Neurospora crassa OR74A: one gene and its partners. The protein of the gene in region 1 purifies or fractionates together with the protein of each later gene. This does not show direct contact. Links are inferred from orthologs where the notes say so. Each region holds a gene or a part of one and is shown on either strand. Other genes may lie near its edges.

Region 1 (5,043 bases):
AGGACAGGGGCGGTTCTTCGTCGTCGAAAGGTGGAAATCGCATGCGCTTGAATAGCCGGCGGTCGCTCTTTTCCTTGCGCATTACCGTCCACATACTGGCCCACTGTGCAAAGAAGACGGGCTCAATGACTCTCGGGATCTCATTCACAAGGGTCAGACAGCCGTTGACGTGATAGAGAACCTTGACCTCTCTGGCAGCCTCCCAAGGCATGGGCATGTTCTCGAGCAGCTTCAGCACAGCATGGGGCATGAACTTGAGCGCCCCAAGATAGCTGCGCTTGTCACTGGTGTACTTTTTCTGCGAAACATCCCCAATATCCTTGACGATCTTCCGCAAGTGCTCTGGTGGCATGTCGGCCTTTTCCGTCTCAACAAATCCGCCCTTCCTCTTCTCGCCGAAGCGATTTCTCTGCATGCGAAGCCATTCCTTCTTCTTCTGGGCGAACTTGGCAACATGAGGGTCGGTTGGTGGAAAGAACCCAGGCGGCGGCGGTGCTGGGAGGGCAGGAGGAGGTGGGAGAGAGGACGGAGGCGGCGGCGGCGGAGGTGCTGATGGCGGCGGAGGAGCGCCCCAGCCGGGGGGAGGAGGTGGTGGTGGCGGATAGGACATTTTTTCGATTTCTGCTTGATGAAGCTTTGTTGACGTTTATGTGGTTGTTTCGTTGTAATCGTCTTCGTCAGAAGCGTGTACCAGTCGGCGTTGGCGACGAGATGGATAGAAGGCTGGATACCGTGAAGTCGCCTGTCCGCGCGATGGCGGTTTGCAGTCCGCGTGCGTCGTTCCAAGGCCTGTCTCGCTGAGGAAGAGAAAAAAGGACTGGCAAATATTAGATTCCCATTGGTTTTAGATGGAAATGGGCGTAGGTCGACCTCGCACCAAATCGCGGCGATGGTCGATCAAGCTGAGAATGGAGAGGTGGATGTTGTATTCGTGAAAGTGTGGTTTGGTGGCGCCAGGATGCTGGCGTTGACGTTGGCAGGTTGGCCTCGTTACGAAAAACTTGAACAGCCTCGCGACAGCTGCGTGGGCGGTCGATAAAGTTCAGAGGTCAGGGCGGGCGGTCCAGGTCCTGGCGCGCAAAACGGGAAACCTGGCAGCGGGATTCTTCGCTGTGCAGGTGCTTGTTGGCAGCTGCAGCCCGGTAGCGTCCCCGCCACTCCAGTTAGTGAAAGAGGGCCTGGGGTTGGTTGCCTGCAGCGACTGGGCAGGCTGGGCTGTCACTTCTCGACTTCGTGGCGAAACGTCTCCTGTTACGTACTGTAACTTTCGATACGCAATCCCCGTTACGTGGTAGATCTGGCTTGACAAGCTCACAGCACGTCTCAGATGCATGTAACCGAGTATAGTGATACATTATCAGTTCAGGTAGCTGATACATTGAAGGTGGGGCATCAGCTGGCTGGCTGTTTGCGCCCAAGTACCCAGACGACAGGTGTTGAATCTCATAGTGAAGGCCTGACAAAGCAATGCTTGATATTGTTCCCTCGCTCCGCTCGCCAAAGTATACACAAAAACCCGTTCCTCTGACAGATCCCTCATGCGAACATCTGCAAGGTTCAGACCTTATCTTCATCTTCTAGGAATCCCGTCCTGCGATCTCCAAGCGGAAGCAGGTACATTCAGCTCATAAGTTCAGCCTCCCCCCCGCGGAGCAAGTATCCTCTCCCCCCACACCCCTTGCTCGGATTAAGTCATACCCAATCATTACAGCGCTCGAGGCCCAAACAGCTCCGCTCGATTCGCTAAGCCCCAAATCGCCCCCACCAAAACGGCCTTTCAGTGAAAATTAATTCTTTGACCCCTCTGTCCGCCTCGCCGCAGCCGGGTTTTGCTTTGCCAACCATCCGGACCATCACCACTTCCGTCCACCACTCCAAGTACCCATACCGGTAACCCGGACTTCTGCATCGCGCCCATACCCCCGGAACCCGCATATTTATTCCGAGTCTATCGAAAGAGACCGCAACCATGTCTCGTTTCTTCCGCGGCGGTGACGACAGCTCCACCGACAGCAGCTCCGAGGAGGAGGAGGTCTACACTTCGGAGGAGGAGGAGGAGAAGGTTCAGGCCGAGGACGAGTCTTCGTCTGAGGAGGAGTCTGACGAGGAGGAGAGCGACGAGGAGTCCAGCAGCGACGAGGAAGAAGGAACCAAGAAGAAGGGTGCCTCCCGTTTCTTGCAGAGCGACGACGAGTCCGAGGAGGAGGAGGAAGAGCAGAGCGACGATGAAGCCACCACCAAGGTCAAGAGCGCCAAGGACAAGCGCTTCGACGAACTCGAGTCCACCATCAGCCAGATCCAGAACGGCCAGAAGATCAACGACTGGAGTCTTATCGCCAACGGTTCGTATATCTTTCATGCATGCATACACCCTCGATATGTCCTGCACCGATACTTACTCCCCTCCCCGCTTTAGAATTCGACAAGCTCAACCGTCAGGTCGTCAAGCTCCAAGATGGCAGCAAGGCGCCCAAGTCCTACATCAAGGCCATTGCCGATCTTGAGGACTTCATGAACGAGACTCTCGCCAAGCAAAAGGTCACTCCCAAGAAGATGAACGCGACAAATGCCCGTGGTCTCAACGCCGTCAAGCAGCGCATCCGCAAGAACAATAAGGAGTACCAGACCCAGATCGATGCCTACAGGAAGGATGCGGACGCTTTCATGGAGTCGGATGATGAGGTTGCCGCGCCCAAGGTTGTTTCCAAGGTCCGGTTCGAGGCTCCCGTCGTCAGTGCTGAGCAGCAGGAAGAGGACGACAAGGGCTTCTCTACGGTCGATTCGCGCGGCAAGGTTGTTCAGTACACCCCCGAGAGCATCCTCAAGCACCTCCGCGCCATTATCGAGTCTCGCGGCAAGAAGAACACCGACCGCCTCGAGCAGATCAAGGTTATGGAGACCCTCAACAAGGTCGTCCCCATTACCCCTTACCAGAAGATCCGTGTCCTCCAGACCCTTATTTCTGCCCGCTTCGATCTTGGTGCTGGTGGCGCCGCCCAGATGCCTTTGGACCAGTGGAAGGCCGCTGAGCGTGACCTTGCCTCTCTCTTGGAGATCCTCGAGAAGGAGAAGGACCATGTTGTTGTTGAGGGCGCTGAGGAGTGGGATGATGATGACAAGCTCCCCACCATCCCCGAGGGTGAGAAGTACCTCAAGGTTCCCGGCAGCGTTGTCTCGCTCATTGAGCGTCTCGATGACGAGCTCACCCGCTCCCTCCAAGCCATCGATCCTCACACCTCTGAGTACATCGACAGGCTAACCGATGAGGGCTCTCTTTACAACACCATCTTCCGTGGTCTTCTTTACTACGAGCACCTCCGCAAGGATGCTTCCCTCGAGGTTCCCCAGGAGAGCTTGAACCGCATCATCCAGAGGCGTCTGGACCATGTTTACTACAAGGTATGTATAGAGCTAATGCTGGAATACTCAGCCGTCTTTGCTAATCATCTTCTTTCAGCCCGCCCAAGTCGTCAAGATCCTCGAGGAGAACGCGTGGAAGCAGGTTTCTGCTGAGGCCGATTCTGAAATTACCCCCCGCAGCCAATCCGGCGATGCTGGCAAGCTCATCAACATCCTTTCTAACTACCTGTTCGAGAACAGCGAGGGCATCATCCGCGCCCGTGCCATGCTTTGCCAGATCTACTTCTTGGCTCTGCACGATGAGTACTACAAGTCTCGCGACCTGATGCTCACTTCCCATCTTCAGGAGACTATCGCCAACTTCGACATCGCCACCCAGATTCTCTACAACCGCACCCTCGTTCAGGTCGGCCTTTGCGCTTTCCGCAAGGGTCTCGTCTACGACGCCCAGAACACCCTCCAGGAGATCTGCGGCAGTGGCCGTCAAAAGGAGCTTCTTGCTCAGGGCGTCATGATCCAGCGTTACAGCCAGGTCACCCCTGAGCAGGAGCGCCTCGAGAAGCAGCGCCAGCTTCCCTTCCACATGCACATCAACCTCGAGCTCCTTGAGTGCGTCTACCTTACCTGCAGCATGCTCCTCGAGATTCCTCTGCTCGCCCAAACCGGTTCTTCGCCCGATGTCAAGAAGAGGATCATCAGCAAGACCTACCGCCGTATGCTCGAGTACCATGAACGCCAGATCTTTACCGGGCCTCCGGAGAACACCAGGGATCACGTCATGCAGGCCTCCAAGGCCCTTGCTGCTGGTGAGTGGAAGAAGGCCACCGACTTCATTCACAGCATCAAGATCTGGGACTTGATGCCGAACACCGAGGGTATCAAGACCATGCTCGCCAAGCAGATCCAGGAGGAGGGTCTCCGTACCTACCTCTTCACCTATGCTCCTTTCTACGACACTCTCGCCATTGCTACCCTCAGCTCCATGTTTGAGCTCGACTCTCGCAAGGTCTCTGCTGTCGTCAGCAAGATGATCAGCCACGAGGAGCTCGCGGCTGCTCTTGACCAGGTCACCGAGACCGTCATCTTCCGCAAGGGTGTTGAGCTCAGCCGTCTCCAGAGCTTGGCTCTCACTCTCTCCGACAAGGCCAGCTCCCTTATTGAGACCAACGAGCGTACGCTCGAGCAGAAGACACAGGGCTCCGCCAACGCCTTCTCCAGGAAGGACAACCGTGGCGGTGGCCAGCGTGGTGGTGGCCAGCGTGGTGGCAGAGGTGGCGCGAGGACGGGCGGCAACCCTCAACGGCAGGCCGGTGGTACACAGTTCACTGGTGGTGCTCTGGGTAATGCGGTCCGTGGTTAAAGCTCTGTGGAATAGGGAAATTGGTGGTTTTCGTTTTGCTATTGCATTGGGCTTTGGTGTGTGACTAAAAAGCAATTCCCCAGGTCTTCTAATGGTGCTATCCCCTTGAATGTGTTGCCCCATGGTTAGACCCAGCGAAGTTTAGTCTAGAATCATAGGTTCTCTCGGTTTAATTTGTGTTTTTGGTTCGGGCATAGCTTCACTCAAAATTGCGCGTTTGATATTTTCTTCATGATGTGTTAGTTTATCATATGGAAATTGTCTGAACCTGTGTATAATGTACACCATGTCAACCTGAGTATTCTTACAGCCAACCCGAAACG
Region 2 (5,083 bases), on another chromosome or scaffold:
TTGAATGGATGCAGTTCATATATGTGTATGTGTACAAAAACAATTCAGATATTCCCACTTGAAATTCAATATGTATTCATCAACTAGTCAGGTCAATCGCCTCTCTTGCAAACCTCCCCTTAATCCATTCTTTGTGCTTTGGTCCCCTCAAAACAACCACTTGGTTCTGAGAGTTCCGGCGGCAGTCGCCCTGCTTGACCCGTTGCCCCTCAATCTACAAAAAGTTCCAATCCAGGTTGGTGGTTTCCCCCCGTCCGCTGTTGTAGTCAACCCTCAAGCAAGGGTTTCACCAAAACCAAAAAGACAGCGCAAACTTTCTCACAAAACATGTGACGGAGGGGTATATCTCTCTCTTTTCGTAGGACCAGGCAACAGGGAACTGACTGCCGCCGCCGGGGTTAATCATTCGGCGCGTCGTCCTCAGAGGAAGAGGAAGAGACAGTTTCGAGATCAGAACCAGAACCGCCGCCGCCGCTACCGCTACCATCCCCGGCGCCGCAATGAATGGAGGAACTGCCATTTTCTTTTTGGACGCCTAGAACGCCGGAATCCGATGCATCATCATAACAACGACGGGGGCGTTTAGTATTGTTGCCTCTGCCGCTAGTCTTATTATTCTTGGGAAGAACATCATTGGAGACACCGTCTTTAACTGCTCTTCTCGGGATCGTCCAAGAAGAACTATAGGGGAAAGCAATGTTAGTATGAGGTCGCAGGATGGGAGAACTTTTCCAAATTGAAACAGAAACAAAACTTACGTAGTTGCCACTGAGCTTCTGCTCCTGGTCAAGCTGAGAGTTCAGCTTGTTGATGCGAGGGCGATAGTTGGTAGGATCACGGCGGAAAGTGACATCAAGGTTCTTCAAAAAGGTGTTGCAGCCAGTAAGCAAAGACTCGGGCTTGTTGGCGTGAGCGTCGATACCAGGCTTGCCATCAAAGACAATAACACGGTCGGCAAGGTAAGTGGCCATGATGAAATCGTGCTCGACGATGAAGGCAGTCTTCTTGGCGTGCATAATGAAACGCTTGATAACACGGGAGGCAATGATACGTTGCTCGGAGTCGAGATCTGGAAGACGGTTAGAAATGCATCTTAAGGGGGTGGGAAAGAGGTTCACGTACAGGCAGAAGGCTCATCGATGAGGTAGATATCAGCAGGAATACCGAGAGCAAGAACAATGGCAACTCTTTGCAGTTCACCACCGGACAGATGCTTGACTTCCTGGTCAATGAAATCATCAAGCTTCAGAGGCTTGACGACGTCAGTCTGGAACTGAGGAGACAAGAAAGCAGCCTTGATCTTCTTGAAGAACAGCTGGCGAACGGTACCCTCGAACTTGGGAGTGATGGTCTGGGGCTTCATGGAGATCTTCATCTCGGGAACCCTCTTGGTGCCGTCAGGCTTAAGAACACCGGCCAAAAGACGGCAGAAGGTGGTCTTTCCAGTACCGTTCTCACCCATCATGACGATAATCTCGGAATCAGAGAAAGAACCGGCGTCGATGGACAGGTGGAAGTTGCCCATGGTCTTCTCCATGGCAGGGTACTTGAAGGCGCGCGACTTTTCCTGGATGAACTCCTCAGTGCCTTCGGCAATGCGGAAGGTCAAGCTCTCGTCACGGAAACGCAAGTTCTCAGTAGGGATGTGACCATCGAGGAAAATGTTGATGCCTTCACGGACGGAGTGAGGGAGGGTGACGACACCGTATACGGCGGGCTGACCGTAAAGACAGCAGACGTAATCGGAGAGGTAGTCGAGGACAGACAAATCGTGCTCGACGACAATGACGTAGTCGTCGGGCCGGAGGAGAGAGCGAATGATGCGGGCGGCACTCAATCTTTGCTTGACATCGAGATACGAGGAAGGCTCGTCGAACATGTAGACATCGGCCTTCTGAACGCAAACGGTACCGATGGCGAAACGCTGGAGCTCACCACCGGAAAGGAGGGTAACATCACGGTCGTAGATGTGGCGCAACTCTATTCAAGATCAGCCAGGGCGTCCAAATAAGCAAATCACAAAGCGCAAAGCATGTGGAACCTACCAAGGGTGTCGAGAACCTCGTCAAGGTTATCGAGAGAGCGGCGGCCCTCAATCAGGAACTTGACGCTCTTGTCGGGGGTGCGGATGGCCTTGGGGATCTGGTCGACGTACTGGGGCTTGACAACAGCCTTCAGGTCATCCTCGAGCAGCTTGGTGAAGTAGTCTGCGATTTGTCAATCCTCTGATCTCCTTCCAAGGTGAGCCGTATTCCTTACTCTGCAACTCAGAACCGCGGAAGTACTTGATGACGTCCTCCCAGTCAGGCGGGTTGTCGTACCTGCCCAGGTTGGGCTTAAGCTTTCCGGAGAGAATCTTGAGCGCGGTACTCTTGCCGATACCGTTCGTTCCGACAAGACCCAAGACGTTGCCGGGACGGGGCATGGGAAGACGGTGGAGCTTGAAGCTGTTGGCGGCATAGCGATGGGTGATCTGGCTCTCGAGGTTGGTGGGCAGGTTGATAATGGTGATGGCGCCGAAGGGGCAGCGCTTGGGGCAGATACCACAACCAATGCACAGCTGTTCGGAGATGAAGGCGATGCGCGACTCGGGAGACACCTAGATATCGGATGTCAGGAGGGTGTTGTCGCGCAAAACACGGGGATCGCAAGGGGTCCGGAGAGATCTTACCTCGATCTGTTAGAGAGCAGTTAGCTGTTTGGTCTTGTTACCGCACGAGGACTATGGAGAAGAGGGAAGCTTACACAGAGTTTACCGGAGCGCACAACAGGGCATGACTTCTTGCATTCCTGGCGACACTTCTTGGGCTTGCACTTGTCGCTACTAACGATAGCGATACTACAGATACGAAACAGGCGAGGTCAGCAAGGTGGAAGCCAGACAGCGCATACAGCCAGACCAGCACAAGCCAGTATCGGCCGATGCTTCTACAAGCAGAGCACACACGCGTGCGGCCTTGGGATCGTAAACGCACCGAGTGAGTTTGTCCGACATCTTGTCTGTGATTTCGCTCTGCGGACTGATCGAGATGGGTGACTGTGGGCGGACCGCTATCCTAGGCGCAAAGCGGGAAATGGGGGAGGGGGAGAAATTCTCAAGATGCCGCACGTCTCGGAATACTACGAGCAGAGTGGAGAGGGCCAAACAAGGCGGAGGAGGCTGACACTCTTAAGTTTCTCCAGAGGCAACGTGGGTCGACGCCTGGGTTGTGGACAATGTCAGTTCCCTCGTCTCAAAAAATGTCGAGACCGCTGCACCGTGCGCCGAGTCTGGTGGCAGGGCGGATCGTAAAAAAAAAAGACCCCGCTTGCCCTGATGTGAAGTAAGGTAGGTCGTCGGGCTTCCTACTTAGGTACCTCTAGCCCCGCAACGCTATGTACCAACATGGTAGCAGGGTTGGAGCTACAAAAGAGGTGTAAGCTGAAATGTGCCACGGTTGATAGGTTACCTCTTAAAGGTACCAACTTTACCTTGGTATCTAATGCCAGGTGAAAGCCCACTGTTCCTGTTTCGCTGTCATTGCTTGCCTTAGGTGCCCCGTGTGCACTTTTTGTAGGTATGTAACGACCCTCCATATAAGTAGTAGGTACCTAAATTCCATCTCCCCAGTCGGGCTGAACTCTCAGTCCACCCCATGATTTCTGTCTCAGAATTCCATAACATGACAGGAGCTTCTACTATCCTATCATTGCGGTTGCACCAAGTATCTAGCTGATGTTCACGCAAGTGGTCGTCCACATTGGGTTCCACTTTTACTATTGTTCCTCTGTCCTTTGTTCTGTTTCCGCTTCCCATTGATCTCCCCTTCATTTCAGGACAACTTCTGCCCAAAGATTCTTACAGTGACCCAAGTGGCATCGTGGAGAGTTGGTTAATCATGGGCGTGTACTTAATGTCTTGCTGAAGTCAGTTTGTGCTCATTATCAGCCAAAACAGATCCGAGATCTGCTGAACACAGCCTTACATCGCCTATTTTCCCGAATACATGGTCATCGCTTCCAATGGACGACTATAATGCGGATGATGATGACTAGACAGTTTCATTGATATTGCCACTTTCTCTGTCCAGGTGATGATAGTTTCCTCCGTGGATGAACAGATCCGACCCATCCTTCACAAGTGAGCGTTAATATCTAGTACTCCCTCGGCTAAAGATAATGCGTCAATGGCAGCGTATTGTTTGTTTGGAGGGGAGTACTTGTATGGCCGACGACATCAAGCTTGATCATGACGCTCGGTAGGAGGATGTGCATAGTTACCTAGTTAGGGTTGACAACTAGAAGCGCTCGGACTCCTCCCACAACCGTATCGTTTAAGGAAATCACTCGCAGCATCACGGATGCCGTCAACGATCACGATGCAGAGAGGCGCAGGGTTACTGACATCAAACCGGACTTCCGAACAGAGCTCTGGCTGCCTGTCGACATATGTTTCCTGCGCCCCGGCCGGGCAGTGACTCACAACCAATCTACTCTGATAGCAGTCTATTCCACATGTTGTCGAGGCAGAAATGACATCGGCATCAAGACGTTGAAGATAGTTGCCGACAGAGGTCAATGTTGGCAGTCAAGGAAGGCTGGTGGCCCCAGCAGCACGGGATCGTGTGGATCCATCGTCCTGGACGGATCTGCTCCAGCTGCGCCAGGGAAGCGGTGCCTCTACCATACCCACTTGGACATACTCATAATCTGAAGGGAGTTTAGGACTGGTATTTCTTTGGTCGGATAGGCATGAGACGAGGATAAAATCTTTGATTAGGTATATCTGTTTCTCTTTGACACTTTTGGAGGCTCTCGGATTACGTTTGTGGAATGGGTTAAATAGAGGTGGCCCCGCACAATCACCTACAAGATGTTGTCGTCCTGACTGCCTGCCTGGGTTTGCCTGCGTCGGCTCGCAGTAGGTTCTCTTCGAGCCGGAGCTCCAGTGGCGGGAAATCATCCAAATCACCTTGGTGCCGGTGCTCGCGGTGTACCAAGTTGAAGTGAAGCACCAGGAGAGACCAGTGCATGGCTGGCACCTGCACCGGAGCTGACAAAGAAAACCCCTTCGACGCCAGCATGCCTACCTAGAAAAACCGGG
Region 3 (4,860 bases), on another chromosome or scaffold:
AACTGGGCTGAGTTCAGGGTGCTCTTCGAGGGGACGCTTCCTGTCAGTATCAGGAAGTTCCGGCGCGGCAGGACACGGCCAACGTGGGAGCAAGGAGCCTGGAACGCACCCAAGTACGGCCGGCTCATTAGCACACCGAACGATGCCGAGATGTTGGGAATAGCCATGGACGGCACCATGTATCACTTTACGCTGCTTGATCAGCACGCATTGCGTCTGTTGCGATTCATTGTCAACTTGTATAACCTCAGGGGGAAGAGAGACGAGGAAAGGCTGCTGCACGCGGAGCCGAACCTGGGTCCCACTGAGCCGTCGCATGTGGATGGTGATGTGCTGAAGACACTCTTGGATGCGGAAGTCTTGCAAGAGCTGATCAACACGGAGGAGCTGTTGGCGCGGTTCAAGAGCCTGTTGGATAAGTTGGATGGAGGCAAACATACTGCTGAGTGGATGGGCGAGGGCACTGCGGACCAGTATTTTGAACTGGCGTATAACGTGTTGATGTATTATCTTAGGCAAGTTTACTAAGTGCTTGGAATTCTAAGGCGGGGGGGGGGGGGGGGGGGAAGGGCAAGATACACTGGTAATAAACGGACGTGTGATCCAGTGTCGGCCTACAAGCCGTCCTGATGAATGCCTTGGTGGTGTAGCTACAGCATAATAGAAAAGCGAATAAAGAATATCACTAGCAACATCTGGTTAATGAAATACCCATTATGACAAGGTGAGGGAGTTGGCCTGCCCCCTTGGATGGAATATCGCACAAAATACACCAAAGTGGTAGAAAGTAAATACAGAAATTAGCCCAGCAAGTGCCCCACTTGTGCCTTAACAAGCAGGTGCCCCGCATTCTGCACCAACGAGTCGGTCACTGTACTTGTACGCGGGAGTGCAGGAGCTTCCACTTCTTTTTCACCACTGCACTGTACTGTACTGTATTTGTCTTGACTGCTGTCTCCAACAGTCTGTGCAGTGTCAAGTCAAGGGCTTGGTCAAAGCGACACCTCCTGGCTCCGGCACAAGTAAAAAAAAAAGTTTGGAGTGGCGATCCTTGTCTGGATTTTTCTGCTGAATCGAGACTCCTTTGACTTTGCGACTTCGACTACTTGGGATTGAGTTAGAGAACGGGACATGATTGCCGTTTTTTGACCGTAGACGGAGACAATACCAAACACTTTATACGGGTTGAAAGAAAGCGCATAGGCAGACGGTGTAAGTACAGGTACTGAGATAGGTACGTACCTGACCTCTATATAGTGTAGCAACAAACCAGAGCGGGATTCGATACAAAGAACAACGAAAGAAAAAAAAAAGATCCACGGTGCCAAGTACCTACAGTACCATCGATCCACTCTGCAGCACCACCACCGAAAAGTGATACAAGTGACAAGCCCTATCCCGTCGACAAGGGGGGACCTACAGCACCAAAAAAAGTACGCCGCCTGCCTTCTTTAGCAGCCAGCCATATCGCATATAACGGCCCAGTAGCCCCAGTCGGCCGCCCCACGAACCCACCACCAGAACCACCTAGCGAGCAACGAGGTCTTCACCCGGACTTCGACTTTCGTCACAAGGAGAGAAGGAGAGCCCATCAGGATCCTCTCCCCCGCCCATCCTACCGACGACATCCCCGCCTCAAGGTATTCCCCGGTCGACTACCAACAGTCCAGTTAGCCCAACATGGCGCCCAAGAAGAAGGGAAACAAGAAGGCCAACGATGACTGGGAGGCCGAGCTGGGCGAGTCCATCGCCCCCGTCAACAACAACGGCGCCGATGCTGCTGCCGCCTCTCCCGCTGCCGCCGACGACGAGGCCGCTTCCGGTGGTGGCGGTCTGATGGAGAGAATGCGCAAGGCCAAGGAGAAGCGCAAGAAGAAGGGTCTTGCCGACGACTGGGAGGCTGAGCTGGGCGAAGACGCTCCCGGCGCCGAGAAGCCCGCTGCCGCCGAGCCCGTCCCCGATCTGTCGGCCAAGGTCGCCGAGGAGGCCAACCTCGACGACGAGTTCGCTCTCCCCGAGAAGAAGGGCAAGGGTGGCAAGGGCAAGCAGCAGCAGCAGCAACAGAAGGCTGCTCCCGCCGCCGCCGCCAAGAAGGACGAGGATGCTGCCGATGAGGATGGCCCTAGGGTGTTGACCAAGGCCGAGAAGGAGAAGCTCAAGAAGGAGCGTGAGAAGCAGCGCAAGAAGGAGCAGGTGAGTACCCAGTCATTATCACTATTACCCACTAATGACTATACATACATCAGACACAAACGGAAGACTAACAACAACTTCTTTTCACTAAACAGGCTGCTGCTAAGAAGAAGGGCACCACACCCGCCGCCGCCGCCAAGGCCGAGCCCGCAAAGGAGGAGAAGAAGGCCGAAACCCCCAGCCCCGTCTCGACCCCCGCTTCCACTCCCGCCCCCGAAGCCGCCGCCGGTGGCAAGAAGAAGAAGCTCCCCGCCCACCTGCTCGCCCTCCAGAAGCAGCAGGAGGAGCTGCGCCGTCGCCAAGAGGAGGAGGCTAGGCTCCTCGCCGAGGAGAAGGCCAGGATAGAGGAGGAGGAGCGCGCCGCTGCCGAGGAGGCCAAGCGCAAGGAGGAGGAGCGCGCCCGCAAGAAGGAGAAGGAGAAGCAGAGGATCGAGCAGCTCAAGAAGGAGGGCAAGTTCATGACCAAGGCCCAGAAGGAGGAGAAGGCCCGCAACGAGAGGAAGCTGCAGCAGATGTTGGCGGCCGGTATCAAGGTCAACGCGCTCGAGGGTGAAGAGTCCAAGAAGAAGCCTGTCTACGACGACAAGAAGAAGAGGGCTGCTAACAAGAAGGTGAGTCTGTCCGGGATTCTTGCTACAATTACGGTATACTATGGACGGCGCTAACCAGTGTCTACTTGCTACAGAAGGACGAGGAAAAGGCTCTCGCCGAGGCCGCTGAGCGCGCAAGACTCGCCGCTGAGGCTCTGGTCAAGGAGCAAGAGGAGAAGGCCCGCATCGAGCGCGAGAAGGCCGAGAAGGAGGCTGCTGCCAAGGCTGAGGCCGCCAAGGCCGCCGCTGAGGACAGCGTCGACGAGGACTGGGAGGCCGCTGTTGCCTCTGACAAGGAGGATGTCAAGGACAGCTGGGACGCCGACTCCGACGAGGAGGAGGAGACCAAGAAGGAAGAGACCAAGAAGGAGGCTTCTAAGCCCGCCGCGGCCAACGGCAAGACTCAGGCCAAGAAGGAGGAGTCCGAGTCCGAGTCCGAGTCTGAGGAGGAATCTGAAGAGGAATCTTCTGAAGACGAGGAGGCTACCGCCAGGGAACTGGAGGAGGCCCGGAGGAAGAAGGAGGCTGCCGAGCGCCGCGAGAAGGCTCACCAGGCCGCTCTGGCTGCCAGGTCTGCGGACAACCTCCGCTCGCCTATTTGCTGTATTCTTGGTCACGTCGATACTGGTAAGACGAAGCTGCTCGACAAGATTCGTCAGACCAACGTCCAGGAGGGTGAAGCCGGTGGTATCACTCAGCAGATTGGTGCCACTTACTTCCCCGTTGAGGCCATCAAGCAGAAGACGCACGTCGTCAACAGGGACGGCAAGTTCGAGTTCAAGGTTCCCGGTCTTCTTATCATCGATACCCCCGGTCACGAGTCTTTCTCCAACTTGCGTTCGCGTGGTTCTTCGCTCTGCAACATCGCCATCTTGGTTGTCGATATCATGCACGGTCTCGAACCCCAGACTCTCGAGTCCATGAGACTGCTCCGTGAGAGGAAGACGCCCTTCATCGTCGCTCTCAACAAGATCGATCGTCTTTACGGCTGGAAGAAGATCGAGAACAACGGCTTCCAGGAGTCGTTGGCCCTCCAGAACAAGGCTGTCCAGAACGAGTTCAAGAACCGTCTCGAGCAGACCAAGCTCGCCTTCGCCGAGCAGGGTTTCAACTCGGAGCTCTTCTACCAGAACAAGTCCATGGCCAAATACGTCTCCTTGGTCCCCACCTCTGCCCACACCGGCGAGGGTATCCCCGACATGTTGAAGCTCATTGTCCAGCTTACCCAGGAGCGCATGGTTGGCTCTCTCATGTACCTCTCCGAGGTCCAGGCTACCGTTCTCGAAGTCAAGGCCATCGAGGGTTTCGGTATGACCATCGATGTCATTCTCACCAACGGTATCCTCAGGGAAGGTGACCGCATTATCCTATGTGGTACAGAAGGCGTCATCAAAACCAATATCAGAGCCCTGCTCACGCCCGCGCCGCTCAGGGAACTGCGCCTCAAGTCGCAGTACGTTCACAATAAGGAAGTCAAGGCCGCTTTGGGTGTCAAGATCTCTGCCCCCGGCCTCGAGGGTGCCATTGCCGGTTCCCGTCTGCTTGTCGTCGGCCCCGACGACGACGAGGACGATCTCGAGGACGAGGTCGAGGCTGATCTCGCCTCGCTCTTCAGCCGTGTCGAAAAGTCCGGCCGCGGTGTCTCCGTCCAGGCCTCCACCCTTGGTTCGCTCGAGGCCTTGCTCGACTTCCTCAAGGAGTGCAAGATCCCCGTCGCCAACGTCGGTATCGGTCCCGTCTACAAGCGTGATGTCATGCAGTGCGGTATCATGTTGGAGAAGGCTCCCGATTATGCCGTCATGCTCTGCTTCGATGTTAAGGTCGACAAGGAAGCGCAGGAGTATGCCGATCAGCAGGGCGTCAAGATCTTCACTGCCGACATCATCTACCACTTGTTCGACTCGTTCACCAAGCACATGGATGAGCTGCTCGAGAAAAAGAAGGAGGAGTCCAAGCTCCTCGCTGTCTTCCCTTGCGTGCTCGCTCCCGTTGCCGTCTTCAACAAGTCTGGTCCCATTGTTATCGGTGTCGATGTCGTGGAGGGTCAGTTGAAGATCAACACGCCCATTTCCGCCGT
Region 4 (4,737 bases), on another chromosome or scaffold:
GGGCGGAAGCGCGGGTTGGTCTTCTTGGTCTCGTCGATGGTAGCGCGGAGACCGTCGCGGATGCGCTTGGCCAGCGCGGTGCCGTCGATCTTGGAGGCCATTGCTGCTTCAGGCTCCCTTGTTGCGGCTCTGGGAGAAGCTAAACTGGAATATGTCCTGATGGAGCTGCGCGGATGGCCAAAAGCAGCAGCGTATCGAGAGACAGGACCCTGAATGTGAGAGAAGCGGGAGGAGGAAGATGGTGCAAAGGGTAAAGTGTCAGGCAGAGGCAGAGTTGAAGATGAGGGGGAGAGCAGCGCATTAGCTCCAAAATCGCTAGCAGCTGCTGCCCCGGCGCATGACGGTGACACCAGAATCGACCCCGTAAGCCCCGTCACTGGAGATAGGCGCCAATAACGGGATTTCTTAGGGCGGCTGCAGGTGGATCGCGGGGCGGCGGAGAAGTCAGTGGTACCAGCTGCAGAGGCGACGAAAGCCGAGGTAGAGCTCCGAGAGTCGGATTCCGTGCCCCACGACAATGTCCATCTTTTGAGCACGTCTTGTCCCGTATGCTCGACTTGAATGCGCCGCCGTGTGTTCAGCGACCCGTGTGCGGACAGGGATGTGAGACAGCTTCCGGCTCGACGCGACTTCCTTGACGTGGAAGACACCCTCTGGATGAAGCTGGAGATGGCCATGCCTACACGACGCAGACTGGTACTGTAGAGCTAGAAGAAGGGTGCAGTGGTCTTTCTGCGTGCGTGCTGTAACAACATCACACTGAACAGCAGCGGACGCAGGCTCGGGGTAAGGGATATTCAGAAGCTCAAGACTTCCGCCCGGCCAAGCTCTCTCGACGCCCCCGGGCACCTCCACGACGGGGTGGGACCAGACGGATTCGGGACCCAGGGGTTTTCTGCGCCGCACAGAAGAGTCACAATGGGTTCCCGCCTAGGTAGACGACGGGGGATCGATGTCGAGGATCCAATGATCGCCGGTTTGCTGGCGGGAATAGAGGTTTCGTGATTTGTGATTTTTTTTTCTTTTTTTTTTCTTTCTTTCCCTTCTCGAGGAGTCACCGAAGGTGAGCGTCTCAAGACGTGCCGCAAATGACCAGTGTAAATGTGACAACAAAACGTGAAGCCAATGAGATAACCTAAATAGAATAGAGCCCAAACCCAAGCTTCTCAAAATAGTACGTATTCACCATGCATTCTTGCAAGAATCCTACCATGTCTCGTTAGAAAAGCCTCTATTTCCGTCTACAAATCTCCGAGAGTTGAAGAACTTTTCCTCCTCGATGCGACCCCCGGAAGAGGGCATTCATATAACTGCAATTGAAGTGGGTGTCTAGATGCTGCATCCATGACTCTACAAGTTCTCGGCTTGCTGCAGGTAGCAGCTCGGATCATGATGTGCTCGCACTGTCCTGTCTGTGTCGTTGTTCTAGATTGAAGTTGGTGTGGCTTGCGGCCGCGGCACAGGCTTGACGAATACAGCTGACTCTTAAACTCTGAGTCACAGACTGAGCCACAACTTCTTATCGGTGGCTGTCGACGGGCCGGCAGGCTGCGAGCGGCGGATCGAGGTGGCAGGCTGCATCGCAAGGTCCAGAGTCCGGTCCGAACTGAAACCAGCAGCTTCAATGGATGGCACACGGCTGGCTGGGACGAGGGACTGGAGAGGGGCAGCTTGGCATCTGCAGGGATAGGTGTTGGTTCGCCCCGCGGCCGTCAGAATCCGCCAGAGCCAGCCAGCCTATCGCGCACAATCTGCGGAAAAATTACTGGGAGTGGAAATCCACCCAAAGAAAGAACACCAAAGACCGATCCGACGACGACGACCGCATCTACAAAGACACTAATCCACCCACCTACCTCCCAAGTCGTGCAACCCCCCCCCGCGATATTTCTCGACGACGAATCCACTCAGTGTCTTCTAACGACCATAACACTTCCATACCGCCGTCCACGCCTCGTCATATTTAATAACCCACAATCAAGATGAGGCCCATTCTTCTTTCGGGCCACGAACGTGCCCTCACCCAGATCAAGTTCGTCTTCCCTCCGCATCATCATCGCATACCTTACCCGCCGACCCGACCCCTCTTGGTGTTCTGGCTTTGGCATGTCGGGCATATAGAGATGCAGCCTCTAACAGCAACCCTTTACCCCCAACAGGTACAACCGCGACGGTGATTTGCTCTTCTCAGTTTCCAAGGACCAGCAGATTTGCGTTTGGTTCGCGCACAACGGCGAGCGTCTCGGTACATACCACGGCCACCAGGGCGCCATCTGGACCATTGATGTCGACCCCACATCCACCATCCTCGCCTCTGGTTCTGCCGACAACACCATCCGCCTTTGGGAGATCAAGACCGGCAGACTTCTTAAGACATGGGACTTCCCTACCGCCGTCAAGCGCGTTGAGTTCAGTGAGGATGGCAGCAAGCTTCTGGGTGTGACGGAGAAGCGCATGGGTCATCTGGGTACCATCGTTGTCCTCGACATCAAGCTCGATGTTGACGCCGAGCAGAGCGATGAGAAGGCCATGACTATCGTTTGCGAGGACAGCAAGGCCACTGTTGCTGGCTGGAGTTATCTCAGCAAGTACATCATTGCCGGCCACGAAGACGGCTCCGTCTCCCAGTTCGACGGCAAGAACGGCGACCTCCTCTACAACATCCCCATCCACGAGCTCAACCAGCCCATCACCGATCTCCAGTGGTCGCACGACCGTACATACTTCATTACCGCCTCCAAGGACAAGACCTCCAAGGTATGTCACATGGCTCCACAACCCCCCCCCCCCCCCTTTTTTTTTTCTTTCTTTGGTCTTCTTCCCGGATCCTTAAAACCGAAATCAATGAACAGTCAATCGCATGCTAACACTCCTTGATTATTTTCACAGCTCATCACAGCTAAGGACCTGGAGGTCCTCAAGACCTACCCCGCCGACACCCCTCTTAACAGCGCTACCATCACTCGCAAGAAGGACTTCGTCATTCTCGGTGGTGGTCAGGCTGCCATGGATGTCACCACCACCTCCGCGCGTCAGGGTAAATTCGAGGCGCGTTTCTACCACAAGATCTTCGAGAGCGAAATTGGTCGTGTGCGCGGTCACTTCGGTCCCCTCAACACGGTTGCCGCCGACCCGACCGGCAAGAGCTACGCCAGCGGTGGTGAGGACGGTTACGTCCGTATCCATCACTTCGACAAGGGTTACTTTGACTTTATGTACGAGGTCGAGAGGGAGAGGCAAAACAAGCTCAACCAGCAACAACAGCAGACCATTTCTGCCTAAACGGATCCCTTCTATCGACATCGATCGAAACTTTCGGACTTTCAGCAAGCAGGATCCGAGGAGGGGCGGCAGAAAGGGGCGGAAAGGCGATTCGCGGGACGAAATATGGGTGTCGTGTTATTGAGTTCAGGATTCTCTCGACTTGTCGGAGGAAGGAAATGAGCAAACGGGTTATTTTACATCGCGCGTCCAGGGATCCAACAATTTGGGGGAAATGGGCATTTCACAAACGGCGTTTTTTTCAGGCAACCTAATCTGAGAATTTGGGCGATTCCACCCAATATTTGGTGAAAAAAAAAGTGAAAAGGAGCAAAAATTGGAGCGATGAGGTGGTGCGGTTCGATGTGAAGCAAACGAACGAACAAGTGAGTCGCGCGGAGAGCGGATATGTAATTTCCATCTTGTCACGAAAGGAACCTTTGGTCCCTATCGAAGCACAGAAGAGTCATTTGTCATAGTTGAATTCGGTCGTTCTTCTGCTTACTATCTTGCGCAACCTCGTTCATGTGATATCAGATTGGACGTTATAAGTAGAGGTCTTTCGCCAATTGCTTACTCACTCCCTTATGGTCAATAAGAATCCAACACAAGTGGAAACAATAATACAGGGGTAAAGGAAGTACAAGACTGCGCACATCATGCCCTATTCATCCATCAGAGAACGGATTTGACCAAAAGGATATCTTTTGTTCCTCAGGTAGGCAGAGAAATCCCTCGCTAAATGACGGCAGGTGAGATAACCATCACCGAGACCGCAACATGAATACGACACAACGGAAACGCCGCGAGCCAACTGCATTAACCCTCCCTGGACTCTTCTCAGTGGTGAACCGAGCCCCTTCACCCAATCTAACCCAGTCATATGAAACGCAACTACAGCTTCGAATACCAAGCCAAGTCAATACATGTGCCGTAGCTTGTATTTTTGGTCTGGACCACCATCAGGCGGTCTACTTCTTCTTTCCCTTGGGGGCAGCCTTGCCCTTTGTCGCCTTCGATTCCGTCGACGCCACGCTTGACGCGCGCGAAGGGGCAGCCGAGGTGGCTTTGCTACCGGACGCTGACTTGACGTTGTCTAGCGCTTTGTTCTGTTACGCGGGTAAATTCAAGTTAGTACGAACATCTCCAAAGTGAGAAAAGCAGGGGATGGTTTACCTTGACACCATTAGCCTTGGTCTTCTTCTTGGCAGGAGCCAGGCCCAAAACACTGTCTTCGTCATTGTCTTCATCATTCGCTTCACGCTTGAGCTTGCCATTGACCCCGTTCACCTTGGCCTTGGTGGTGTTGCTAGGCTCGTCCTCAAACTCTTTGACGATCGTCGTCAGCAGAGTGTTGCAGCGACGGCTGATCTCAATGGGAGTACGGCTAAGGAAGAACCAATCGAAGCGAAAAAGAGGGCTCTCGCGGATCTCATCCCGGATCTTCTCGTAGATGCCCTCGGAATCGACGCCATA
Region 5 (5,074 bases), on another chromosome or scaffold:
TGGGCCGCTTGTCCTGGAGCGTGGAGTATGTTTACTTTGGGGGTGTTCATCGAGAGTTTAGGGAGTGATGTGAAGTTGTAATGGAACTCGCTTGAGGTTTGTGATGATGGTCCATATGTGTCGGACAGCACTAGACACGGGACGTTTATATCGTCCTTTCCTGCCCCCAGTTGCAACTCCTTTCAGGGAAAAATTTGGAATACGAGAGCTGACTGAAAACACCGAGTTTGTCCGTCCCTGGTCTCAAAGGAGCAATAGAGTTCCGACACTGCCCAAGCAATCTCCATTTTTTAACATCAAGACAATCCAGGAACAAGCAAATAGCGGGCGCTAGCGAAAGGAACCCGGAAAGCTCCAGATCTTCAACCAGGACAAAATTTCATTTTGAATCCTCAAAGTGGCAACCGGGCATCGATTGTGGTGGTCAGCTGGATGTCGTTGTTTGGCGGTGTCGGGACCTCCCGGGTGACAAGCCATAGGGCGCAGTTCCACTTCCGCAACATTCTCGGGATTAGCCTTGTACATATCCAGAAGAACAGCGAGCCCCTGAGCAAGTACACTAAGACTGGGGGATTGTGACTCAACACAAAGACAGCCACAGGAGATTTCGAGATCATTGATAGTTGGTTGGTTGGTTGACAGGGCACTTGGGCGAGTTATGTGTTGGAGATTTTGCTGACAGTAATAGCGAGCGGAGGGAAACGGAACACCAGTCGCACTTGTTCTCATAGGACACACAGCATGACTGAGCAATGGCTTGGTTGCTTCCGAACCTGCAAATATACAAACAAATGTCTTGGGCCATAAGTTGCGAATGGCTTCATGTTAAACTTCTAACTTTGCTGTGACGTCAGTGGTAGTTATTCGTAGAGTGTAGGATCGAAGGAACAATTGCAAGTGTCCAAATATTATCCCGTGTCGGAAGCGGGGTGGAAGTGGTGTACAAAATATTGACGACGCAGGGCATTTTCGGGTGACTCCTGGTCCAGAACATTTGGTGAAAGAGCAGAGCTTTAGCATCCACCTAGTTGTTTATGAATCATTCTCTCCACATGCGTTAACAGACTTCTCCAAAAAGCCATCCTTCTAGGCCTGCTGCACCTAGCACATGCTGCTTGACCGAGGCCGTACATATATGGTGCATGCATCGTGCATATACAAGATGTCCTAAAAGATAAGAGAACGAAAAGAAAAGAAAAAGGGAAATAAAGACGGGCATGTTGGCGAACTGATGGTTTTTGTCAGGACTCAGCACCGACCCTGACTGACGGGCCCGTGCGACACAGCACTGACCCCGCATAAAGCCTTCTGGAGGGAAGGCATTGATATATACCAAAGATGGGAAGGAAGTGGTTATTCAGAAGGGATGGTAGCAAGCAAGACGTACGAGGAAGTCAGGTGCTTGGTAAAACATAAACGGGAGGAATAAATGGGGACGATTCCTGTGTATTGAAGACTAGCCGCCCCAGGCGTCTGGAGGTTCTGGTTTTCCTCCTCATCTTCATCGGGCATCTTCTCAATGAAATCCAATTGGTCACAAAGCCCTTTTCCCTGGCAGTTTTGGCATTGTATTAAAATCTTAGACGTTAAAGAACCTTGAAGAACCTGTGAAACGCTGTTGCTGTTTCACTGTTGGTCTTCTAACCCCGCTAACAATACCTAGTTATTTTGCCCACTGCGAACGGAACCACACTCAAGGTGGCTGACCCCTGCTCGCTTTTTCAACTTCTCAAGACTGCGATCGGCTTCTCTTTTGCAGTTTGGACACAACCAACCACAGCACGCAAACTTTTCCTCGTCGCGCCAGACATCGTTGTCGCAAAGACCCGTTCGGTTTTCTAGATCGTCACTACCAAATCGCAAACATGTCTGGAAAGAAGTGGGGTAAGTCTTCCTCGCTCTCCTTGCCTTTTCCCTCTTTGCGCAAGACGAACCCCGCGAACAGTGTATGTCGGCGAAAGTGGGCGGCCGCGATCGCCGTGACAAGGCTGCCTGATGCCTGCGCCGGCTTGCGATAGACGCTGTTAACATTGCCATATGCCTCGAGGCTTCCATGTTTGAGGCGAATTGGACTTCAGCGACGCAGCCTATATATACAGATCAACCAGAACCAACTCTTGCATCGACTTTCCTGTTGCGCCACCACAACCTGTTCGAAACCCAGACTAACTAACCCCTCATCACCACAGACGAGGAAGAGGAGGAGTCTTCCGCCCCCAACTCGCCTGTCCTTGCCCCCGGCCGCCGCCGCTTCGACGATGAGGAGGGAAACGAGAGCGACGTTCTCGACTCGTGGGATGCCGCCGAGGACTCCGAGGTAGAGCGCGAGAAGGCGAAGAAGGCCGCCGAGGCCAAGGCCAAGGCTGAGGCCGAAGCCGCCGCCAACAAGAAGTCCAAGGCGCAGCGCATCGCCGAGCGTCAGGCCGAGCGCGCCCGCCAGCTGGCTGAGGATTCGGACGCGGAGGAGGAGACCGAGGCCGAGCGCCGCGAGCGCCTCCGCCGCGAGCAGAAGGAGTCCGATCTTAAACACGCTGAGGACCTGTTTGCCGGCATCGGCATCAGCAACGACCGCAAGGTCGTCAGCAAGGGCACCATTGTCCAGATCGACCCCAAGGACCCCAACAACACCATCGACATCTCGACCTTGGCCTTGTTCAACCCTACCACCAAGACCCAGTTTGAGACCCTCCGCACCACTCTTGGCCCCATGATCGGCAAGCTCTCGCCCAAGCCGCACTACACCCTCTTCCTCCAGGAGTTCTCCAAGCAGCTCGCCAAGGACCTCAAGAGCGACGAGATCAAGAAGATTGCTAGCACCTTGACTGCTCTCAGCAACGAGAAGCTCAAGGAGGAGAAGGCTGCCGAAAAGGGTGGCAAGAAGAGCAAGGCTGCCAAGACAAAGACCTCGCTCGCTGGTGTTGGTCGTGGTGGTGCCATTGCTGAGGCCCACGACACTTATGATGATGATGCTTTCGGAGAGTAAGTTGGCTTGAGGTGGAGTGAGAAAAGATACGCGTGGGGAACGATTGCTAACGTTTCGCTCTAGTGATGACTTCATGTGAAAGATTTCTACCGATAAATCACAATCGTTCGCTTTGTGAGGAAGAGAGGCCTCGAGTCCCTCTTCCCATCAAGGGATGTAGAATCATCCCCTTCACCAGGTATAATACTCATCTCACCCGGGAAGCATTCGGAGCGAAGCAAAAAAGTAGCGGTTGCGTGTGTTTCATGGCGTAAAAAGAAAGCGTAGACTACCACGACACCCGCGCAACGGTCACGGCACGTCCGCCGTCCGGACGTAAGGTTCAGTGGCATGATGTCTTGGATGGATGCATGAGGGATCAGAGTCGTCATCAGTGCCAGACTGGACGAAAAAAGGAGGATGGCCTCTTGGGGCACTGATCGAGTCGCGACTTGGGGGTGACGGGAAAAGGCAGCAGATACCATATAGCATGGGGGAAAGTAGATTTAGAGTGCATTCAATAATGAAGGCGAGCATCACGTTTCGAAAGTCCAGGCTGCATATCATCCTGGTGTGAGGTTCTCTTATCGATGCCATGGCTAAAATTACAACCAACACTATTTCAGTCACCATCTCAGAACCCTCTCAGAAACTTACACCAGTGAACAGGTGATATTTCCCGACCATGAACACCATGTGAACTTTTCAGACAATGTTGCTGTACCCTAATCAAAACACTTAAAACTCCGATCGCGATGTTGATCTGCCCTGAGCAACCATCATCACTGACAACAAAACCAGGGCACACAAAACACCTCGCCTCCCGCATTCATATGATTCCAGCCAGTAATTCGATCCGTCCGGGTCATTAAGAGCGTAAACCAGTTTCAAATCCCCTCCCTCCTGTTCATAACCATAACCTGCCTGCCTGCCTGCCTGCCTGTCTGTTCCTTCGAGCTCCTGTTTTTCAGAGCCATATAAGTATGTTTGATGTATGTATAGTACAGTGAAATACCGCTTGGAAAGGTATGGTAACCCCCTCACGGTAAAGTAAAGTAGAGAAGAGAGAGAGAAAAAAGGATAGTACAACACAACCCCATATCGTCACAAAACAAGACTTTTCCTCTACCCGCCTGATAAAATACAGGCAAAAGTCTATAATCGTCAGTGTCATATCCAATGACGGCTCACATCAAGTCTCCCGCCACGCCAGCCAGCAACGCATGTACCACGAGACTGACCGTCCACAGTCCCACGCGCTTGAATCTCCTCACCCTACTTTGCTGATCCTCTACGTTTCTGGCAAAAGCACGGTACACCTCGGCGCTCATATCGTCCATCAGCCCACAGTCCCAAACGGTCCAAGCTCCGTCAAAGTCCGTCAGCCGCTTTACGATCCGGCAACTGATGGGGATGTAGGTGCGCTTGGCGTTGATGTAGGCGACGATGGGCCGTACTAGGGCTTGGTTCACGTAGCTCATGTGTGGGTTGTTGAACAGAGGGACAGCGGCGCGGACGTCGTTGAGGTGGATGCGAAGGTCCATGACTAGATAGGAGGGAGTTTCTTCAATCGGGGCTGGCTCTTTGGGAGTCGCGGGAGGGATCAAGGGGGGGAAGTGCTGCTCCGAGGTGGGGAGCTCGTCGTGGTGGCCGGTGAGGTCGATGTCAGAGGCAGATTCCGGAATTGGCCCGCTTTCGAGGGTGGGGCTGTTGGTGTTGCTTCGGCTGTTGGGAGAAATGTTGCCGTCTAGAATCTTGAGGTAGCGGTTGCTGGTTACGGCTTCTTCCATTTTGTCGTAAAACTCGGCGACAACCTTGCTTAGACCCTCCTCAGGATCCGCAGGGAACATGATGTCGGCAATCATATCGACGTTGCCTTCGTAAATCCAGCCAAACGGTCCTTCTACACCGCGGTTCAAGTGGTCAATCTTCAGCCCATCAATCCGTAGTCGGGAGAACTTCTTCCAGGCCGAGGGAGAACCGAACTCGTCTTGGTGGTGACGGCCGTTATCTGCTGCGGACACACCGTGGATCTGTCTGGGATGAATGGTGAATAGTGATCCATCGAATGATCCGGACATGTGATTTGCTGACAAAAAGTCATAAAACAGC
Region 6 (4,930 bases), on another chromosome or scaffold:
ACGTCGAATCATCTCCTCGAAATGCGTCTCGCCGCCTCTCATCCCCTCTCGAGTTTGAGCACGTGGAATTTCGATCCCAGCAGCCCTTCGAGCTCTAGCAAACGATCCAGCCAGCGTTATTCGCTCACTAGGTCAACAAAATCCCTCCCGGAAGAGGAAGTTGAACCATCTTCTCCACCTCCTCCGCTACCTTGTCAGATGCGCGGCGGTTCACGGAGACCCCCGCCCTCGGCTCTGTGCCTCAACTCACGCCCGCTCTCTTTTGTGGTGGATCAACCGTCGCCTGAATCGCCGTCGCTTGATAGGAAAGGTGTTTCAATCGAAGTAGCTGATGAGACAGCACCGGAACCGGAGTCCCTTTTCTCGTCTTGGGGATTGCCGGACGCAACCAAGCAACGTTGTGACAGCGGCGAGGACTGGGAGAATCTCTCTCCCACACAACCTGTCACACATGGTAGCCCTGAAAAGAGGTCAGGCTATGCTCCTCCATCATCAGTGGCTTTCCAAGACATGCTCAGATCCACTCCGTCCGTCGGCGATTACCCAGGTAGCCCATCGAAGCGCGCCGATAGAAGATTTAGTCTGCAGTCTCAGCTGTCAGAAAGGTCAAGCGAACCTGATCGCAGTTTCCTTGATCTGAGTGACCTCGGTGACGATCTCGGCGACCTTCCCCAGATATCTTCAACTTCACTTTCGAAGCAGGGCTCGAGACCCGCGCCCCATTTTAGGTCTTTGTCGGTTGCCAACGGCGGCTTGGGTTCGCGACGGAATAAGACACAGCTGGCGGAAGGTCCCCCACCTGCTCCCCCGCCGAATCGTGCCCTTCCTCCAATCCCGAGAAAATCGTCACTTCAAGTCTGTCACTCAGCATATTCACCTTGAGCTGTGATTTGCATTTACTCGTATCTGGCGCCATACCATCATTCAACGCATCGCCATTTCTGGACGTCTAGGAAGCACGACCACTGAAGTTTCCGAGTATCTGTCAGCGACAATACTTGCAGAGCAAAGGGCGCCTGGGGATTCAACTGATAGAGATAAACCGCCATCGAACCGCTGATTGACTCCGTCACCATTTCCTTTGTCTCTCTTTTTTCAAGGTCGGGTTCAGTCGAAAAACAAGATACCGGTTAGATGGATGGAATAAGGATGCAGGAAGCAAGATACTGGATACCCAGGTGATGAGGGTACATTTATACCACCGGCGACATCCGGAACGTAACGTGTGAACGATCTCCTTTGTCAGGTCGATTTGGTGCGGGATTTGTCTTTTTTTGCCATATACCTTGTATTATGTAATGTTGGGGTACCTACTGTGTATGTAGGTGATTAATTGAGGAGGTGAGTGTGGTGGGCATGAAGGGCGGGGTGGTTTTCGATTCTCAATCGGAGGAGGGGGGTCACAGAGTCAGAAGAAAGCTGGTGCCCGGCAGGCTCCGTGGCCAACTTAGATAGCAGTGAGTTTAGAGCATCAGATATGGATGCTTGGAGAAATCTGAATCGAGTTCAAACTCTCAAACTTTAACCTCGGTGCCAGCCATCAACTTGCAAACAAAGGTACCTACTATGTACAACACGTCCTGGTGTCGAGAGAGTTGAGCTAGCTCCATGTTGCGGCGCCGCGCCCTGCCCCTGGTAGGCCTGGAGGAGCAACGTTCGGGTTAGGGTTGTGATGCCTGTGATGCCCCCACTAATGGATGCGAAGTGGAAGCAACCCAAAGCGGATAATGAAAGAAGGGGCAAAACACCTCAACGTATACGTCTGGATGCGACCAGTCCTGCTTTGTCAAAGAACGAAGCTTCGTTTGTAGGGAGCCGTATTGGCTGTCATGTGCGAATCTGCTGCCTTGATATTGTACGTAGGATAGAGCACCGTTAGCTGCCAAACAGGGCTGATTTCCTGAGTGAAAGCCGAGTCAGCAAGACAATTTTTGCCCCACACTCAAATATCCAAAAATTCCCACCTCCAAAAAATGGGGGGGAAAACTGCCCTGGCTTTTCAAACTTGAGCCCCACCAAAAATCGCCGCCAAACCAGCGCAACGTCAACCCATCGCGACGACAACCCACGGCCATTTCAGTCATCCACCGCACCCATCACCAGACGAGCCGAACCTGCGGAATCAAAACAACCACATACTGTCAAGATGGCTGCCGTTCAACAGAAGTCAGTACTCCTCCGCTTGCCTCGACAGCAAACGCCCGTCTGCATCCACGCCCCCGATTCCCCCGATTGCCATTTTTCCGGCGTGCTTCACAACCCAACACGTATGCATTTGATTTCTCGGAGAGTAAGAGTCTAACATAGTTCGCGACCATTCAGGCACGACTGGGCCGACGATGACGAGCTCGAGGAGACCTCCACCGAACTCCCGCCCCCTCAGAAGATCACCAACAAGGATGGCAGCACGACCATCATCGAGTACCGCCTGAACGACAACGGCCAGAAGGTCAAGACCACACGACGCATCCGCTACATCACCCACCGTGAGGTCGTCAACCCCCGCGTCGCTGAGCGCAAGTCGTGGACCAAGTTCGGCCTTAGCGTCAAGGACGGCGCCGGCCCGGCCCCCGACACCACCTCGGTCGGCGAGAACATCATCTTCAAGCCTTCCTTCAACTGGCGCCAGGAAGCCAAGGATGAGAGCAAGGACCCCAACGCCCAGGCCATGAAGGACAAGTTGAAGGACAAGAAGGTCAAGTGCCGTATTTGCAACGGCGAGCATTTCACCGCCCGCTGTCCCTACAAGGACACCATGGCCCCCATCGGCGAGGCCGGCGCTGCCGCCGACGTCGCCGCCAGTGCTGCTGACGAGGCTGCTGCCGCTTCCCAGGGTGCGGCGGGCGCGGGCAAGAAGGGCTCGTACGTGCCACCTGCGCTGCGTGGTGCCGGTGGGGCCGCGGCTGCTGGAGAGAGGATGGGCGGCAAGTACGGCGAGCGCGACGATCTCGCCACTCTCAGAGTTACCAACGTACGTTTGCCCCTAGTGTCCCCCAAAAGGACGCGGAGGAGGAGGAGGAGGAGGAGGTGGTGGTGGTGGTGGAGAAGAAGAAGAAGCAGAAGGAAAAGGGAAAGAGGGAGTAGGCGACAGACTTGCAAAAGCTGCTCTGTTCTGCTCCTAAAGAGGGGTTATTATGACGGGACTGATTCGTGCTAACATGTTTTCTACGCTTAGGTCTCCGAGATGGCCGAGGAACAAGAGCTTCGCGATATGTTCGAGCGGTTCGGTCGCGTCACTCGTGTCTTCCTTGCCAAGGATCGCGATACGGGTCTTGCCAAGGGCTTCGCCTTCATCAGTTTCGCTGATCGCAGCGACGCTGTCAAGGCTTGCGCCAAGATGGACGGTTTCGGTTTCAGACATTTGATCCTTAGGGTTGAGTTCGCGAAGAAGGCTGCGTAAACTTAATGGGTCTTCTAGACGGACGAGGAGGCGGAGGAGAGGGAGGAAGGGGTTAGAGGAATGATGGAAGAAGCAGCGATGTTTTGGTCCCTAATGCGGTCTGCACAAGGAAGTGCGTCATCAAAATGGGAAAGGACTCTTTGATACTACTATTACTTGATCTGGTTCCTGTCTCTTCTTGCTGTGGGGGTTCATACTAATGGGGAACAAGCGGCAAAATTTGTCATGATCGAGAGATTTCTTCCGCCTTTTAAGCATATCGGGCCAGGGTGGCCAGGTGGTTATAGTTGACTTTTGTTACATGGATGACGGGCTAACTCCAGGTTGAACAAGATCGGTGTAATAGACTGGCAACATGCCCGGACTACAGGAGCCCAAAACGCACCGAAGCTCTTCAGAATACAGTGTGGTCTTCTTGTCGATTCAGGGCGCATGCCAGTGTTTAAAACAGCTGACAGCCTCTCTGAACTCTTGAATTATTATCAGTGCATTTATCTATCCCGCTGAACGTCCCTGGCATCAAACATTATATTACTTGGTGACAGAATCTGTTATGATGTCCTATCATCAACTCAACCGACCAATCGCAAAGACCGTAAGTTCCTGAGCTCTCTCAAAGCAGCCGGCACGTCCCTTCATCCTCTTCATCTTCCTGTCTCATTCATCTCATCACCGTAAAAGTCGTTCATCCCTCCGCCCTGCCCTCATAAATCATGAAGTCTTGGAAGATGTCGACAAAGAAAAATGGCTGGTTGCCTATAAGAGAAATAAGAAACAAATATCACTCGAGAATGAAATGAAAAAAAAAAAAAAGGGGGGGGGGGGGGGACATTCGGCGCAAAGAAACCTCAGCAACAACACCATGAACACACAAGAACAATAGCCTCCCGCCCATCATAACCCCTACACCTTCTCATCCCTAGACCTTCTTGCCTTTCCCCTCCTCCTCCTCCTTCGGTCATGATCACTCTCTCCATCAGTATCATTCCCTTCCTGCCTTTCCTTCTCCTCCTCATCGTCATTCTCGCTTCCATTCACCTCTTTCAGGCATGTTCCACCCTCCTCTTCCTCCCTTTCCCTAACCCCCCATACCTTTCTCCTCCCTCCGCCTTTTTTCCTCTTCCCAATCCCCCGTCTTTCCTCCGACTCCTCTCATCATGTATACGGCACTCTTCTAACCCACCCCTAGCTCAGCTCCACCGCCAACCTTAAGTGGCTCCGCGCCTGCTTGAAATGAGCGGCTGCTTTCGACTCTGTTGGTGCGCGCTAGGGTCGTCCGCTTGCGTGAGGTATAGCAACGTTCGGCGCGTTGGAGCTGGAGCTGGAGGGATCACTTAGATGGGAGAGCATCATGATGGACAAGGACACTGCGAGAGAGAGAGAGGGGAGTGGAAAGTTCAAGAGTTAGAAAAAACCACCCAACTGAGTGTATATATACTTGAATGTGTAGTGAGGTTGTTGGTTCGATACTACCTGGACGATTCTGAATTCATGCGATGTCTTGGCGTACTGGTCCCCTTTGGCGCAGAG

Evidence for each region.
Region 2: the proteins of NCU07831 (region 1) and NCU03061 purify together in Saccharomyces cerevisiae (affinity purification with western blotting; 4 studies listed by BioGRID, with this or other methods). This does not show direct contact. The link is inferred for Neurospora crassa OR74A from reciprocal best matches to the Saccharomyces cerevisiae genes NIP1 and RLI1.
Region 3: the proteins of NCU07831 (region 1) and NCU05270 purify together in Saccharomyces cerevisiae (affinity purification with mass spectrometry; 4 studies listed by BioGRID). This does not show direct contact. The link is inferred for Neurospora crassa OR74A from reciprocal best matches to the Saccharomyces cerevisiae genes NIP1 and FUN12.
Region 4: the proteins of NCU07831 (region 1) and NCU03876 purify together in Saccharomyces cerevisiae (affinity purification with western blotting; 10 studies listed by BioGRID, with this or other methods). This does not show direct contact. The link is inferred for Neurospora crassa OR74A from reciprocal best matches to the Saccharomyces cerevisiae genes NIP1 and TIF34.
Region 5: the proteins of NCU07831 (region 1) and NCU07954 purify together in Saccharomyces cerevisiae (affinity purification with mass spectrometry; 6 studies listed by BioGRID, with this or other methods). This does not show direct contact. The link is inferred for Neurospora crassa OR74A from reciprocal best matches to the Saccharomyces cerevisiae genes NIP1 and HCR1.
Region 6: the proteins of NCU07831 (region 1) and NCU08046 purify together in Saccharomyces cerevisiae (affinity purification with mass spectrometry; 7 studies listed by BioGRID, with this or other methods). This does not show direct contact. The link is inferred for Neurospora crassa OR74A from reciprocal best matches to the Saccharomyces cerevisiae genes NIP1 and TIF35.

The regions. Positions count from the first base shown.
Region 1 is NC_026503.1:1,003,135-1,008,177, reverse strand, and holds the start of NCU07831 (eukaryotic translation initiation factor 3), read left to right. Parts: upstream 1-1,662; 5' UTR 1,663-1,969; coding exon 1,970-2,342; intron 2,343-2,416; coding exon 2,417-3,399; intron 3,400-3,457; coding exon 3,458-4,720; 3' UTR 4,721-5,043. Other genes in the region: NCU07832 (pre-mRNA processing splicing factor 8), read right to left, coding at 1-610. UniProt on the Saccharomyces cerevisiae protein: Component of the eukaryotic translation initiation factor 3 (eIF-3) complex, which is involved in protein synthesis of a specialized repertoire of mRNAs and, together with other initiation factors, stimulates binding of mRNA and methionyl-tRNAi to the 40S ribosome.
Region 2 is NC_026501.1:4,384,938-4,390,020, reverse strand, and holds the start of NCU03061 (translation initiation factor RLI1), read right to left. Parts: upstream 3,280-5,083; 5' UTR 2,996-3,279; coding exon 2,976-2,995; intron 2,840-2,975; coding exon 2,746-2,839; intron 2,678-2,745; coding exon 2,672-2,677; intron 2,600-2,671; coding exon 2,260-2,599; intron 2,208-2,259; coding exon 2,046-2,207; intron 1,981-2,045; coding exon 1,123-1,980; intron 1,070-1,122; coding exon 759-1,069; intron 682-758; coding exon 649-681; 3' UTR 1-648. UniProt on the Saccharomyces cerevisiae protein: Component of the multifactor complex (MFC) involved in translation initiation. Required for the binding of MFC to the 40S ribosome. Required for the processing and nuclear export of the 60S and 40S ribosomal subunits.
Region 3 is NC_026504.1:5,514,283-5,519,142, forward strand, and holds the start of NCU05270 (mitochondrial translation initiation factor IF-2), read left to right. Parts: upstream 1-1,392; 5' UTR 1,393-1,680; coding exon 1,681-2,193; intron 2,194-2,288; coding exon 2,289-2,804; intron 2,805-2,878; coding exon 2,879-4,860. Other genes in the region: NCU05271 (hypothetical protein), read left to right, coding at 1-528. UniProt on the Saccharomyces cerevisiae protein: Plays a role in translation initiation. Translational GTPase that catalyzes the joining of the 40S and 60S subunits to form the 80S initiation complex with the initiator methionine-tRNA in the P-site base paired to the start codon.
Region 4 is NC_026506.1:1,994,564-1,999,300, reverse strand, and holds NCU03876 (eukaryotic translation initiation factor 3 subunit 2), read left to right. Parts: upstream 1-1,720; 5' UTR 1,721-1,982; coding exon 1,983-2,032; intron 2,033-2,159; coding exon 2,160-2,757; intron 2,758-2,889; coding exon 2,890-3,282; 3' UTR 3,283-3,765; downstream 3,766-4,737. Other genes in the region: NCU03877 (C-1-tetrahydrofolate synthase), read right to left, coding at 1-677; crf4-1 (chromatin remodelling complex ATPase chain ISW1), read right to left, coding at 4,233-4,370, 4,438-4,737. UniProt on the Saccharomyces cerevisiae protein: Component of the eukaryotic translation initiation factor 3 (eIF-3) complex, which is involved in protein synthesis of a specialized repertoire of mRNAs and, together with other initiation factors, stimulates binding of mRNA and methionyl-tRNAi to the 40S ribosome.
Region 5 is NC_026504.1:1,230,489-1,235,562, reverse strand, and holds the start of NCU07954 (hypothetical protein), read left to right. Parts: upstream 1-1,621; 5' UTR 1,622-1,865; coding exon 1,866-1,884; intron 1,885-2,189; coding exon 2,190-2,979; intron 2,980-3,046; coding exon 3,047-3,062; 3' UTR 3,063-4,149; coding exon of another isoform or gene 4,150-5,074. Other genes in the region: aod-1 (alternative oxidase), read right to left, coding at 1-50; pod-1 (mitochondrion biogenesis protein), read right to left, coding at 4,150-5,074. UniProt on the Saccharomyces cerevisiae protein: Component of the eukaryotic translation initiation factor 3 (eIF-3) complex, which is involved in protein synthesis of a specialized repertoire of mRNAs and, together with other initiation factors, stimulates binding of mRNA and methionyl-tRNAi to the 40S ribosome.
Region 6 is NC_026504.1:4,017,898-4,022,827, reverse strand, and holds NCU08046 (eukaryotic translation initiation factor 3), read left to right. Parts: upstream 1-1,759; 5' UTR 1,760-1,829; coding exon 1,830-1,855; intron 1,856-1,911; coding exon 1,912-2,166; intron 2,167-2,322; coding exon 2,323-2,971; intron 2,972-3,175; coding exon 3,176-3,400; 3' UTR 3,401-3,914; downstream 3,915-4,930. Other genes in the region: NCU08047 (hypothetical protein), read left to right, coding at 1-882. UniProt on the Saccharomyces cerevisiae protein: RNA-binding component of the eukaryotic translation initiation factor 3 (eIF-3) complex, which is involved in protein synthesis of a specialized repertoire of mRNAs and, together with other initiation factors, stimulates binding of mRNA and methionyl-tRNAi to the 40S ribosome.